3 linked regions of the Rattus norvegicus genome follow. The protein of the gene in region 3 purifies or fractionates together with the protein of the main gene of each other region. This does not show direct contact. Links are inferred from orthologs where the notes say so. Each region holds a gene or a part of one and is shown on either strand. Other genes may lie near its edges.

Region 1 (4,276 bases), on a different chromosome or scaffold from region 3:
CATTGAGGAAAGGCGAGCGACTGAGGAGGACCCCTGTCTTAGACAGGGGTCTTTACACCAGTTTTGTCTTTTCCACAGTCGTCTTGGAGGATAGGGAAAGAAGGACCATATGATCACCCACATGGTGACATTTAGACATTTGATATATATCACCATACACGGGGGCATTTATCTTCCTGAGTTCTAAAGTGTGACAATACAAATTAAACCAAAACTAAAACAAAAAGCAGACGTGGAACCAGGAAACATGGATTCTCACATGGCTACAAGACATTTCATAGGCAATTGGGACTTTTACTCCCAGAGAGAGAGAGAGAGAGAGAGAGAGAGAGAGAGAGAGAGAGAGAGTGTGTGTGTGTGTGTGTGTGTGTCTGGAGAGATCCCTAGCTGTTATGAGCACTGGCACTTGCTGGTTGCTTTCCCAGCCTCTGGGAGAGCACAGGATGCTTACAACTCCAGTGACAGGGGATCCGACGCCCTCTTCTGGGCACTGCACTCACAGGATACACACACACACACACACACACACACACACACACACACACACACACACACAGACACACCCTCCTTAGGCAAAACACTCATCACAAACGTTCTTCTAAAAATCTTTTAAGAAACCAACAGTTAGAGCTGAAGTCCCAAGGTGCAGCATCTGAGCGTCTGAGGAGTCACCCAGAGGTGGCGAGTTGGTGGGGGAAGGGGTGCCATCTTGAAGCTGAACTTGGCTCAACAGCCCATCCTTTGGGTTCTTTTCTGACCTCATTACCTGCTGTGTTGCAGAGGCAGAGATCCCAAGGGAAAGCGTGGTCTTCACGCCCACTGGGTGTCCAGAGAGAGGTGCTAGATCGGATTCTTCCCAGTCTCTAAAGGAGCATCTTTAAGTTCATGAGGTTATTTTCCCGGGGTCAGCATGGCCTGACCTCTGCGGCCTCGTGAAGGACGGGCTGGGTAGACAGACGGACGAGGTAGGCGCTTGTCTGGTCCGTATTCTGTCTGGAGGCAAACGAGAAGAGGTATCAGTCAGCTTCCTCCATCCCTCCTCTCCGGCCCCCACAAAGGGCAAGGGCCAGACACGTGGGCCGCGGTGAAGAGGCGGGGATGCAAACGAACGGGGCGGAGGCTCATTTGCATAGACAGTGCGCGGCCACCAATCAGGACCGGCGGAGCGGTAGCCCGCGCGCCTTTTGGGGGCGGATTGACAGCCCCGCGGCCCTATGGGAGGCGGGTCCTGCGGCCGGCGGGGGCGGGACGACGGCGGGCGCTGCCCGGCGCACTAGCCGGCTTGCGGGCGCTGCCAGTCTCCGGCGGCGGTGTCCGGCGCGCGGCTGAGCGAGCGAGCGAGCGTGCGGACGGAGCGGCGGCCTGCTGGGCGGGCTGAGCGGCGCGCGCGGCGGAGAGACGCGAAGCGAGGGACGCAGTGGCGGCGGCGGCGGCGGCGACAGGTACGGGCGCCATTGGCCGCGGGGATGGTGCGCGCGCGCGCGCGGCGGACCCGGGAGCCGGCCCCGTGCTCGCGGTCCCGCTTCTGCCGCCCCTAGCGCGGCTTCCCTGGGGTGGCGTGGACGGGGCGTGCGGGAGGCCTGGGCCCCGCGTGGGTGGCGGAGCGGCCGGCGCCCCTCACCAGCGTCCCCCTCAGCGCGGCGCCGGCTCTCTCGCCCGCGCGCGGCTTTTGTTTCCCGCGCAGCCCACAGGTCCGGGGAGCCCCGTGTCGCTCCGCCACGCCGCCCTCCGGACGCGGAGGAAACTTGGCCTTCCGGAGCCCTGCGAGCCTCGCGGATAACGGAGCGCCTCGCCGCGTCCGCGGGGCCGCGCGATGGGCGTGCCGGCCGGGCACCGCCCTCACCTGCCGCTCCCGAGCCGGCTCGCACCAGGCAGGCAGGTGACCCGAGGGCCTCGGAGGTCCGGAGGAGGAAGGGCCAATTAAAAGTTGCTGTTCGGGCCTCTGAGGTGGCTGAGCGGGTACCGGCGCTTGCAGCCAAGCGTGACACGACATGGGTTCGATCCCCGGAACTGACATGGTGGGTAAGGCGAACCGACTCCCGCGAGTTGTCCTCTGACCTCCACGTGTACACAACACAAACACACACCTCTGACTCTGATGCACACGCTCATCTCTCACCACCCCACCCCCTCTCAATAATACTAAGGAAATAAAAGTTATTTTAGGAGTCTTCATTCCCTTCGGCCCAGCGATTATCACCACTCCTGTTCCGGCCATAGTGCATGACTCCAAACGCAGCATTTTGTGTGTGTTGGAGGGATGAATCTAAGGGAGCCCAATGCATTGTGATCATCTTCCTCCTCCTCATCTTCGCCTGTGGATGAGCCAGGTGGGGCGCTTGCGCCTCGTTTTTTAAATCATTGGTGTCTGCAACCGTGGCGAACGCGTTGGAAGAAGGTACAGATCGTAAGCAGAGCGTGCAGAACTTGGGACAGCCCTCGGCGGGGCTCGGGACAGTGTGTACAGCGCTTGGCCGCCATTCAGTAAATTCTGCATGCGGCAGTTGGGAGCTGGTGGTTTGGGGATTTTTTTTTTTTTCCCTTTCAGGAGTGTGTATTCCAGAGAACTAGGGCTGGGCGTCGAATGGGCGCTTTCTTTGCTTTCTCTAGGGGTGGGAGAGAGTGTCTGTTTCCATTGTCTCTATTTTCACAGGGTTGTGAACAAGGGAAGGGTTAAGGTGTGCTTGGGTTAAGTGTTTTGCCTCTTCCTTCCCACTTCTTGCTGTTAGCTTTATGTGTTGTTGTTACAAAATTGTAGCTTTTCCTCGTGGTGTCTGAATCAATTCAAGAAATGACTTGGGGGAGAAAAATCTTATTCTGGTGGGACATTCTTACCCTGTAATACTTTCACTTAACTGTTTTCTGTTACTCTCCAACCTGTTCCTCATTTGCCCAACATGCTTTGTGTGTGTGTGTGTGTGTGTGTGTGTGTGTGTGTGTGTGTGTTTGTGTGTGTACGCGTGCGCGGTATTTTTTGTTTTGTTTGGTATTTGAAATATCAAAGTTTTATTCCTTTGTTACTGGGAGTTTACTATTCCATTAAAACATACATAAAGTTCTGTAACCTAACACTCTTTTTTAACAGCTTTCACTTTGGGGGGTTCTACAGAAATGGGGTGCTTTAGCTGTTTTTAAGTACAAAGGTTAATAGTAATATTGTTTGTTAGAAACACTCCAATTAGTGTTCTCCCCTTTGTCTTCTGATGTGTCATGTGTGGTAACTGCCTTGGATATAATCTATACTTCAGAGATGTTGAACTTCAGAGCACAGTTAATTTTTATTTAATTACACTAATTAATTGAACAATCATTTTATTCATCTAGCTAATTTGAGTTAGCTATTAGTTGGGACCACTTGAGATTATTATTATTATTTTTTAATTTTGCTTCGTTTTTTGAGACAGGCTTTCTCTGTGTAGCACTGGCTGTCCTGGAACTCACTCGGGAGACCAGGCTGTCCTTCATCTCAGAGATTCCCCCTGCCTCTACCTCCCAGAGCTGGGACTAAAGGTGTTCACCACCACTGCCCAGCCACTTGAGGTAATTTTAAGTTAATCCAGGAATATTTTCTGCAAATTGTTTTAACACAATAGATTCATTAGTGGGGCTTTTGTCATTCCAACATTTAACAAAAGGATGTTTCTCTAGTCACTTTTTAGATTTTATCTTTCGGTCAGTGTTTGTGAGAGAACTTGGCACAGGTGTGGTTGTCAGAGAACAGCTTTGGAGTTTTCCTCTTGCCGTGTGTGGGTCCTGGACTTCCAGTTCCGGTGGTTTGGTTTGTAGGCTCTTTCCTCCGCTGAGCAGTATCACCAGCCAGCATTTCTTTTTAAAGACAGTTTAAACCACCTCAACATGAAAAGCCTAGGGTTCGGGATTGGGCAAGTCAGTTACTTTTTTTTTTTGTTTTTAAAGATTTATTTATTTATTATATATAAATACACTGTAGCTGTCTTCAGATACACCAGAAGAGGGTATCAGATCTCTTTACAGATGGTTGTGAGCCACCATGTGGTTGCTGGGAATTGAACTCATGACCTCTGGAAGAGCAGTCGGGTGCTCTTACCGCTGAGCCATCTCTCCAGCCCCAGTTACTTTTGAAGATTTTCTTTATTCTTGGGCTGGAAAAGAATGTGTATTGTGTCGTTAGTTCCTGAAGGCGAGTCAGGGGGATGTGTGCCGCCGAGCTTCAGTCAGCTGAAGCTCTGAGAGTCTGAAAGCTGATACAGGGCTCTTCCCCAGCAGAGCCGGCTCACCCTCCCTGGGCTCTCTCTCA
Region 2 (4,144 bases), on a different chromosome or scaffold from region 3:
ATTGAACTTAGATACAGAGGGTCTGAGTCTATAATGGCCACAGAGATGCCCTGAGCACTCACATCTCAAACCCAAGTCGAGGCAGAGAGACACTAGGAATAGCTTGAATCTTTTCAAACCTGCCCATAGGGATACACTTCCTCCAGCGAGGCCTCACCTAAGTCCTCCCTGGTGATGAGGACAGAGAGTACAGGGAGGGGGAATTCAAACAACCACATCTGCCTGGCTTAGTTGCCAACCTAGCACAGAGGCAGACACTCTACCGCAGAGCTGTGTCTGCAGCCCCTTTTATTTTTCTTTTGACACAGGCGCTTGCTGAAGCTTCCCAGCCTAGCCTTGAATTCACTCTGGCCTAATTCACACAACTCTGTCTCAGCCTCCAGCGGAGCATTAGACCTGAGACTTGCCCAAGCTCAGACTTCCAAGACGTCCACAAAATGTTCAGATTTCTCGGTCGTGTCGTGAGATGACCGTGTTTAATGAAGCCAAGATAATCCACCGCTCATTAGTATTAAGATGAGTTCAGGATAAGGATGGGGTGGGGGGTGGAGGGGTGGGACTAGAAGCCAGTCGTACTTAAGGGGCTTGTCTCTGTTCAGTGATCTAATGGCTTTGAGTTCTGAGTGAAGGAAGTAAATGAACTTTGTTTCCCTGTGCATTTCTGTATCCTGTGCATTGAGAGAGCAAAACACGACTTTAAGTGGACGCGGCTTTGTACTTCAGCCCTGCTGACCTCTACAGCTTCTGACACATGAGCCTACCGAATATCATTCGCAGAGGATTTAAACAAGTTATGTGTGAAAGTAATAATCCTTTCATTGGAAAGGCAAGACAACACAGATGCACTTGGCTTCTCCTTATTTGGAGCCTGTGGTCCAGGCTTTCCCTGGACTCTCCGGAGCCCGCCTGGTCACCCGACAGGTCGGGCAAGTAGAGACTGCCCTTTAGGGCGTCCTGAATTGTCTCCGGCTCTCCCCACGTCACGGGCAGCACCCACTACGTCCTTGCTGTGAATCGTGGGTGCTGGGAGGAACGGCGTGGGCCCTCGGCGCCCCGGGGCAGGGTCCCCCACCCAGGCGTGCGGGCGGCTGCGCCCGCGCCTGCCCTTGTTTGGCCGCGCGGCCTCGGGGGTGGGGAGCCTGGGAGGTGGGGGCGGTGCCGTCCGCGTCAGCGGCGCCTGCGGTGACGGCGACGTGCGGCCCGCGCCACTGCTACCCGCGGACGCCGAGGACCCCCGGAGCTCATGGCCCAGGCGAAGATCAGCGCCAAGGCCCACGAGGGCCGCTTCTGCCGCTCGTCCTCCATGGCCGACCGCTCCAGCCGCCTGCTGGAGAGCCTGGACCAGCTGGAGCTCAGGTGAGGGCGGCGGGGGCGCGCGCGGGCGGGGGCGCGCTCCGGGTGGGCTCCCCTCCCCCGGCCGGCAGCGCGGCGAGCCAGTGCGGCTTGCAGAACTTCCAGATCCTTCGGCGCGGTCCCCCTCTGCCTTTAACTTTCCCGCTTCCAGGGGGCAGGCAGCAGGTTGGTGTGGTCCTTCCCCCCTCCCCTGTAATAAGTTTCTTTGCCCCAGATCACTTCATAGTAACACAAGAGTAAGTTTTAAAAAAGAAAAAACCCAGGACTGCCCCTCCGGGGGACCAGCGAGAATCAGACTCAAAAGGGGCCGCGCGAGATACCGAAGTTGGATACCATCCTTCCTTCTCTTAACCACGTGCAGTGCCCTCTGCAGTCTGTCCGTGTATGTTGTGCGTTTAGAAGACACAGCTGACACTTGGGAAGTGCCAGTCGCAGGTCTGAAAACACCAAAGGCAGGCGTCACACTCTCCCTGAGATTCTATCACGGGGACGGCCTTGTAGTAAAATTTCTAAATCGTGAATACTACTAGCAGATGCTGTGAATACTTGGCTTTAGCAACATGAGCCCCGGTGTATCTGGTGGGAACGTTAAGGTCTCCAAAGTTGTGCAAGTTTTGATTGTGTGCAGGCGCTGTTCCATGAAAATCGTATGGAGACACCCTGACACATGTTGTTCCCTAGTTTTCTCCAGGTTCTGCATAAGCAGAAATATGAGCCAAAATCTTAAGAGTCTTGTGCGTCTTCATCTCTCTCCGTGCATCCACCAAACACAGTATGTTTGCACAGAAAAATACAAGCAGTGTTTGTTACAATTGAGGTGTTCGCTATTTTTACTATTAGGAGAAAAGAACCAGAAGGTGAGAAACTTTTAGTCTCTGGAGTAGCAACCACAAGAGAAGCCTGAACCCTATGTCCCCCAAACCGGAGGGAGACAAAGGGACCTATGCTGAGAAGGGAGGGGGTCAGCATTAAAGCCCCTCTGAAAAGAGAGGAGTGTTTCCCTCTGTGAGGTAGGCTCCGAACTTTGACAGTACATTCTCAACTGCTCCGATTTTTTTTTTCCTTGAAGGGTTCAGGAAGTTGTCACTCTTCCTCAAGCTGAGTCATTGTTCAGAAACTTGAGTTAATCCCTGCCGGCCATGTGCTGAGTCCCTCCTCTCCTCCTGGGGGCCTCTTGAAAGTCTGGGGGTTGCTTAGTGTTACATTCTAATGTCTGACTACGTCAAAGGAATCTCAATTCCCGGCCCATAGGAGATTAAATTATGTTACTTATTAACAGTTGCGCTGAAGGGGGTTTCTTACTGTGTGTTTAGTGGTTCAAGGCCTTTACCAGTAAGCGCAGATTTCTGTAAGTCTTGTTTCTCTTTAAAAATGTGATGCGCACTTAGAAGTAAGTTTGTCAGAAGGTGAAAGAAATGGGGGGAGGGATGATGCTGCCTTTTAAGGTTTGGGGGCCCTTTTTAGAAGCCACCTGGACAGTGTCACAGAGCAGGACACTTTAAAATTAGGCTTTTCAAACATGGGTAGAGAAAGATGACGCTCCTGTGACGTCCCTCCAACTTTCTTAGTGCCCATGTGTGGGAAAAGCAGTGGATGGGGTAGTGTAAGTCATTGGTTGGTAGCCAGTGTGCATCTTCCATTCAGTTGAACTGGTTCTGTGGACTGAAACCACATCAAAGGCTTTATGTCCTGCAGGATGAACTGACCTCGGGGGGTGTCCGAAATGCTTTAAAATGTTTTATAAATCGGTAACAGATGCCGTTTGTTTCTAATGGCTTATGATATTAACGACACCATCTTACATTAAAACAATATTTTATTACTACGCCTCCTCTCCTGCAGTGCTTTCTCTAAAAAGATAATCCCGTCCTTTCCTGATTTACATGACCAGCTCTATGGGGATTCTGCGCTTGTCGAGGCCGAACGCCTTACTCTTTAGTGGTTATCCTAGTTTATAAATCATCCATGTTAGCATCAGTCTGTAGGCTAGGCCTCGTGTCTCTGGGGGAGTTACCGTTATCTGTATTGCGCAGATGAGAAGTTGAAGCTCAGATATACACAACATGCTTCAGTCCAGAGCAGAGCACTTCACATGTGAACACGGGAAGACCGGCTGCTCAGGTCAACACCATGTGTCCTGGTCTTGAATATCACTTTTCAAACTGTCCGTCTGACCTATGAATGAATATGATTTTACTAAAAGAGAAGAAAATCAATTTAGCGTTTGAGTCAGTAAACATTGAAGACCTGGAGCATGTCTGTTATTGAGTAGCTTCTAGGAGCTGTGGGTCAGGGGCTGGGCTTTGGACATTGGCCAAGGAGGTATAATGGTTGGTAGGACTGGGAGATCGGCTGCTTACACATCTCCCAAAACCGATCATGTGGTGAGCAGCTCCTTCCCAGTTCACTCAGCCAGCAGGGGCCAGGGAAACGGGCCACCCCCTGCTTTGGTTTCTGACTGTTTAAGGTTCCTGTTAGCATGTGCCAGTGTTCCAGGACCCACAAAGCAAGTTGACACCATATTTAATTTGTCGTTAACAGTCTGTAATTTAGAAGGAACGCTTTTCGTGCACACTGTCATTTGAATCTTATAAAACCCCCGAGGGAGGAGGGCGTTATTATCTTTTAGCAGTGAGAACGATGGGCTGTGATGGGACTTGGTGGGAAGGATGTTTGTCTAGCATGTTCATAACCCTAGGTTTGATCTCTGGCTTCAGAAAACCAGCATAGTGGTGCACGCCTGTAGTCCAGATCCTAGAATCATGAGGACTTGGTCATCCTGGGCTACGTA
Region 3 (3,645 bases):
ATGGTAGCAGGAGAGAACTGACTCCTGAAAGTTGTCCTCTGTTCTCCACATGTACACTATGGCAAACATGCTCTATATACACAGATAAATATATGCAAAGGAATCTTCATATTTGATGGGAAGATAGCTCCATCAGTAAAGTGCTTGCCATGTAAGTACTTGAGTTTGGATTCCCAGCACCTACATAAAAAGTAAAAAGCTGGGTGCAGTGGTGCATACCTGTAATCCTAGCACTGGGAAGGCAGAGACAAGAGTGGATCACTGGGGCTTAGCCAGTCTAGGTAATTGTTGAGGTCTAGGTTTAGTTAGAGATTTGGTCTCAAAATGAGGTGGAATGCAGTCAAGGGAGATAGATACCCAATATCAACCTCTGGTCTCTCTCTATCCATGCAGATGCACAGGTGAACACACAATCATGTATGTGTGCCACATACAAAACAATGCAGAGTGTGATTAAAGGATACACCTGACATTGACCTCTGGTCTCCATTTGTGTGCACAGATGCACATGCACACCTGTACATTAAGTCTGTCTGTCTTCCTCTCTTCCTCCCCTCCCCCCCACTGTCTGTCTTCCTCCCCTTCCCCCACCTCTCTCTCTCTCTCTCTCTCTCTCTCTCTCTCTCTCTCTCACACACACACACACACACACACACACACACACACACAGAGGAATCCCTATGCTGAGAATGATGGTACATGCCTATAATCTCAGTACTTGGGAGGCTGAGGCAGAAGGACCAAAAGTTTGAAACCAGAGCCGCTATGATAATGTAATAAAATACTTAACCATGCAAACATGAAGACCTGAGTTTGCTCTCTAGCACCCATGTAAAAGGCTGGGTATGGCAGCACAGGCTTACAAGCTCAGCACTGGAGAAACACAGATAGGAAGATTCCAGGGGCTTGTCAGCCAGCCAGTCTAGACTAATTGGCATGCCCTAGGTCTGAGTGAAAAATCTCTGCCTCAGAACAGTTGCTAAGATAAGTAAATATATAAACAAAGCCAGTAGCTCCTGGAAACAATATCCTAGGTTGACCTCTGGACTTCACTTAAATCTGCATATACTTGTACTAACACATACATGTATATTTTCACACTCACAAATACACAGATTGTTCAAATGATCTGGGTTATATGATGAAACCTAGTCTCAAAAATTTTTTTTTGCATCTGTGTAGCAGTGTGGTAGTACATGTCTGTACTCTTAGAACTTGGCAGTCTGAGGCATGAGGATCAGGAATTTGAAGCCAGTTTGTGATACATGAACTCTGTTTCAAAAACCAAAACTAATCCTTGTGTATAATCTCAGTGGTAGAGCATATGCTTAGCCTATGTTCTATCTCAAGTATCAAAATGAGATGGGAATGTCCTGGTGTTTTGTTGTCTTCTGTGATCTAAGTATCATCCCTGTTTGCTTTTGTGTATTCAAACTGTGGTTAATACTCATATGAAAGAATGTGGTTTTCTCATAAACTATATTAAAGAGGTTTCTGTACATGACAGTTTCCATGAGGTAGACCCAGGTAACCAGAAACAAACTGGAAGTTTCAGAGTGTTTACTGTTTGTTCAGCTTCACCCTTTGTAACATCCTCATAAAGCAGCTGCTGTAATGATGATAGTTGTATGGTTTGGGAACAAGAGGACCAAAGCGGTTAGAAGTTCTCTCCAAGGTTGTAACTGGTAAAGGTTTGGCCCTGGTTCCTGTGTCCAGACTCTTTACCTCTAAGTCTCTTCAAGTGATTAGTAAACTATCACACTCCCATGTCACACATGTCTCCATGGCTTGACCTTGTCTTTATCAGTATTGATGAAGAAGGTTGGCTTTGTACTTTGTCATCTGTAAAATAGCCACTGCCAAGTGTGGTGGCCCATGCCCATGATCCCAGTGCTTGGGAGGTTGGGTTAGAAGGATCACTGAGAGTTTGAGGCCTGCCCAGGCTACTTAATGAGCTCCGGGCCAGCTTGGTATACAGCATGAGACCCTGTTTCAAAAACAGAAGAAAATAATAAAATAAAATAGAATTTTGTTGAGGAAGGTCAGGACAGCCACCGCTACTCAGCTTCCAGCAGCCCATCAAGTCTCACAGATTGGGATCTGACAACATTCTGGCCCTGAGCACCCTTAAAGACAAGGTAAAATGAATGATAGGGAAGGTAGCTGACATTGTTTTTCCTGTTGCTGAGTAAACACATGACACTTGTTCTATTTCCTGACCCCTTCCTCAAACCTATCCTCCCTGCCTACAGGAAGACACGACATGTCAACATTTTGCTGTTTATGGGTTTCATGACTCGGCCAGGGTTTGCCATCATCACACAGTGGTGTGAGGGTTCCAGCCTCTACCACCACCTACATGTGGCTGACACGCGCTTTGACATGGTCCAGCTCATTGATGTGGCCCGGCAGACTGCCCAGGGCATGGAGTGAGCCTTATATCTTAGAGAGTTGGGGAGGTGGGAGGGAGAGCTGAAATAGTCTCCAGATAATTCACTACCCACTTCCATCTCCACAGCTACCTCCACGCCAAGAACATCATTCACCGAGACCTAAAGTCCAACAGTATCTACCTGTCCCTGACTGGCATTGGGGGTGGGTATTAATCAGAGTGATAGTTTAAAGGGATGATTTTGGGGGGTAAGTTTGGGGAGGTGAAAAGGGAAGGGCCTGTGGTTTCTTGTCAGGTAACAGAGCTATACCTGGTGAAGGACCCTTTAAATGAAGGACCTTTGTTTAGGGGTCAGATGGTTCACATACTGTTGGGTGCCCTGGTTAGGTGAGATCTAGTAGTTCTAGATGACATTACAGGGAGCTCATGGTCAGTGTCCAAGGCATGACAGATTTAGGTGTCATCCATGGGACTTGTTGGTCTTGGGTCACAATGGAACCAAGTGGGGTCCCATCAGTTGGATAGTTAGAATGAAATGGGGGTGACTTCTGGCAAGAGACATGACCCACTAGCACAGGGGTTCTGAGAATCATCCAGTCAGGGTATGTATGAGGCATAGCTATTGGGATTCCTTGTAATGGCCCTTGACCCTGCTGGATATCTTCCTACATGAGGGGCTCACAGTCAAGATTGGTGACTTCGGCCTGGCCACAGTGAAGACACGATGGAGTGGGGCCCAGCCCTTAGAGCAGCCCTCAGGGTCTGTGCTGTGGATGGTAAGTTGGGCCAGGCTAGATGGGGACCAATGGGAGATGTGGACTTTTGGATTGGGGCATGCCAGGCAAAGTAGGGATGCCTGTGCCAGGTGGGGGTATCTGGACTGCCAACATTTCACCTCTAGTGGGTGGCACTGAGTTGTCCTCAGTGTAACTCTCAGGATCTAGTACTGTGGGCTAGTCATTTTTTGACCCTCATGGTCTCCCTGCCCTGTCTGGCCTACCGAAGGCAGCTGAGGTGATCCGAATGCAGGACCCGAACCCCTACAGCTTCCAGTCGGATGTCTATGCCTATGGTGTTGTGCTCTATGAGCTTATGACCGGCTCACTGCCCTACAGCCACATTGGCAGCCGTGACCAGGTGAGCCTCATAACTTACCTTCAGTTCCCAGGGTTTCACACTCCAGGTCCCCTCATTTGTACAGGATTTTTCTGGATGAAGAGTCCTAGAATCTGTCTTTTAATTCTGTCTTATAC

Evidence for each region. Proteins that work in one complex are often made in the same cells at the same time.
Region 1: the proteins of Araf (region 3) and Fkbp5 purify together in Homo sapiens (affinity purification with mass spectrometry; 4 studies listed by BioGRID and IntAct, with this or other methods). This does not show direct contact. The link is inferred for Rattus norvegicus from reciprocal best matches to the Homo sapiens genes ARAF and FKBP5.
Region 2: the proteins of Araf (region 3) and Bag2 purify together in Homo sapiens (affinity purification with mass spectrometry; 3 studies listed by BioGRID and IntAct, with this or other methods). This does not show direct contact. The link is inferred for Rattus norvegicus from reciprocal best matches to the Homo sapiens genes ARAF and BAG2.

The regions. Positions count from the first base shown.
Region 1 is NC_086038.1:6,540,635-6,544,910, reverse strand, and holds the start of Fkbp5 (peptidyl-prolyl cis-trans isomerase FKBP5), read left to right. Parts: upstream 1-1,355; 5' UTR 1,356-1,442; intron 1,443-1,493; exon of another isoform or gene 1,494-1,991; coding exon of another isoform or gene 1,992-2,018; intron 2,019-4,276. UniProt on the Homo sapiens protein: Immunophilin protein with PPIase and co-chaperone activities. Component of unligated steroid receptors heterocomplexes through interaction with heat-shock protein 90 (HSP90).
Region 2 is NC_086027.1:43,473,717-43,477,860, reverse strand, and holds the start of Bag2 (BAG family molecular chaperone regulator 2), read left to right. Parts: upstream 1-1,223; 5' UTR 1,224-1,243; coding exon 1,244-1,356; intron 1,357-4,144. UniProt on the Homo sapiens protein: Co-chaperone for HSP70 and HSC70 chaperone proteins. Acts as a nucleotide-exchange factor (NEF) promoting the release of ADP from the HSP70 and HSC70 proteins thereby triggering client/substrate protein release.
Region 3 is NC_086039.1:3,782,472-3,786,116, reverse strand, and holds part of Araf (serine/threonine-protein kinase A-Raf), read left to right. Parts: intron 1-2,252; coding exon 2,253-2,429; intron 2,430-2,518; coding exon 2,519-2,565; intron 2,566-3,049; coding exon 3,050-3,168; intron 3,169-3,397; coding exon 3,398-3,529; intron 3,530-3,645. UniProt on the Homo sapiens protein: Involved in the transduction of mitogenic signals from the cell membrane to the nucleus. May also regulate the TOR signaling cascade. Phosphorylates PFKFB2.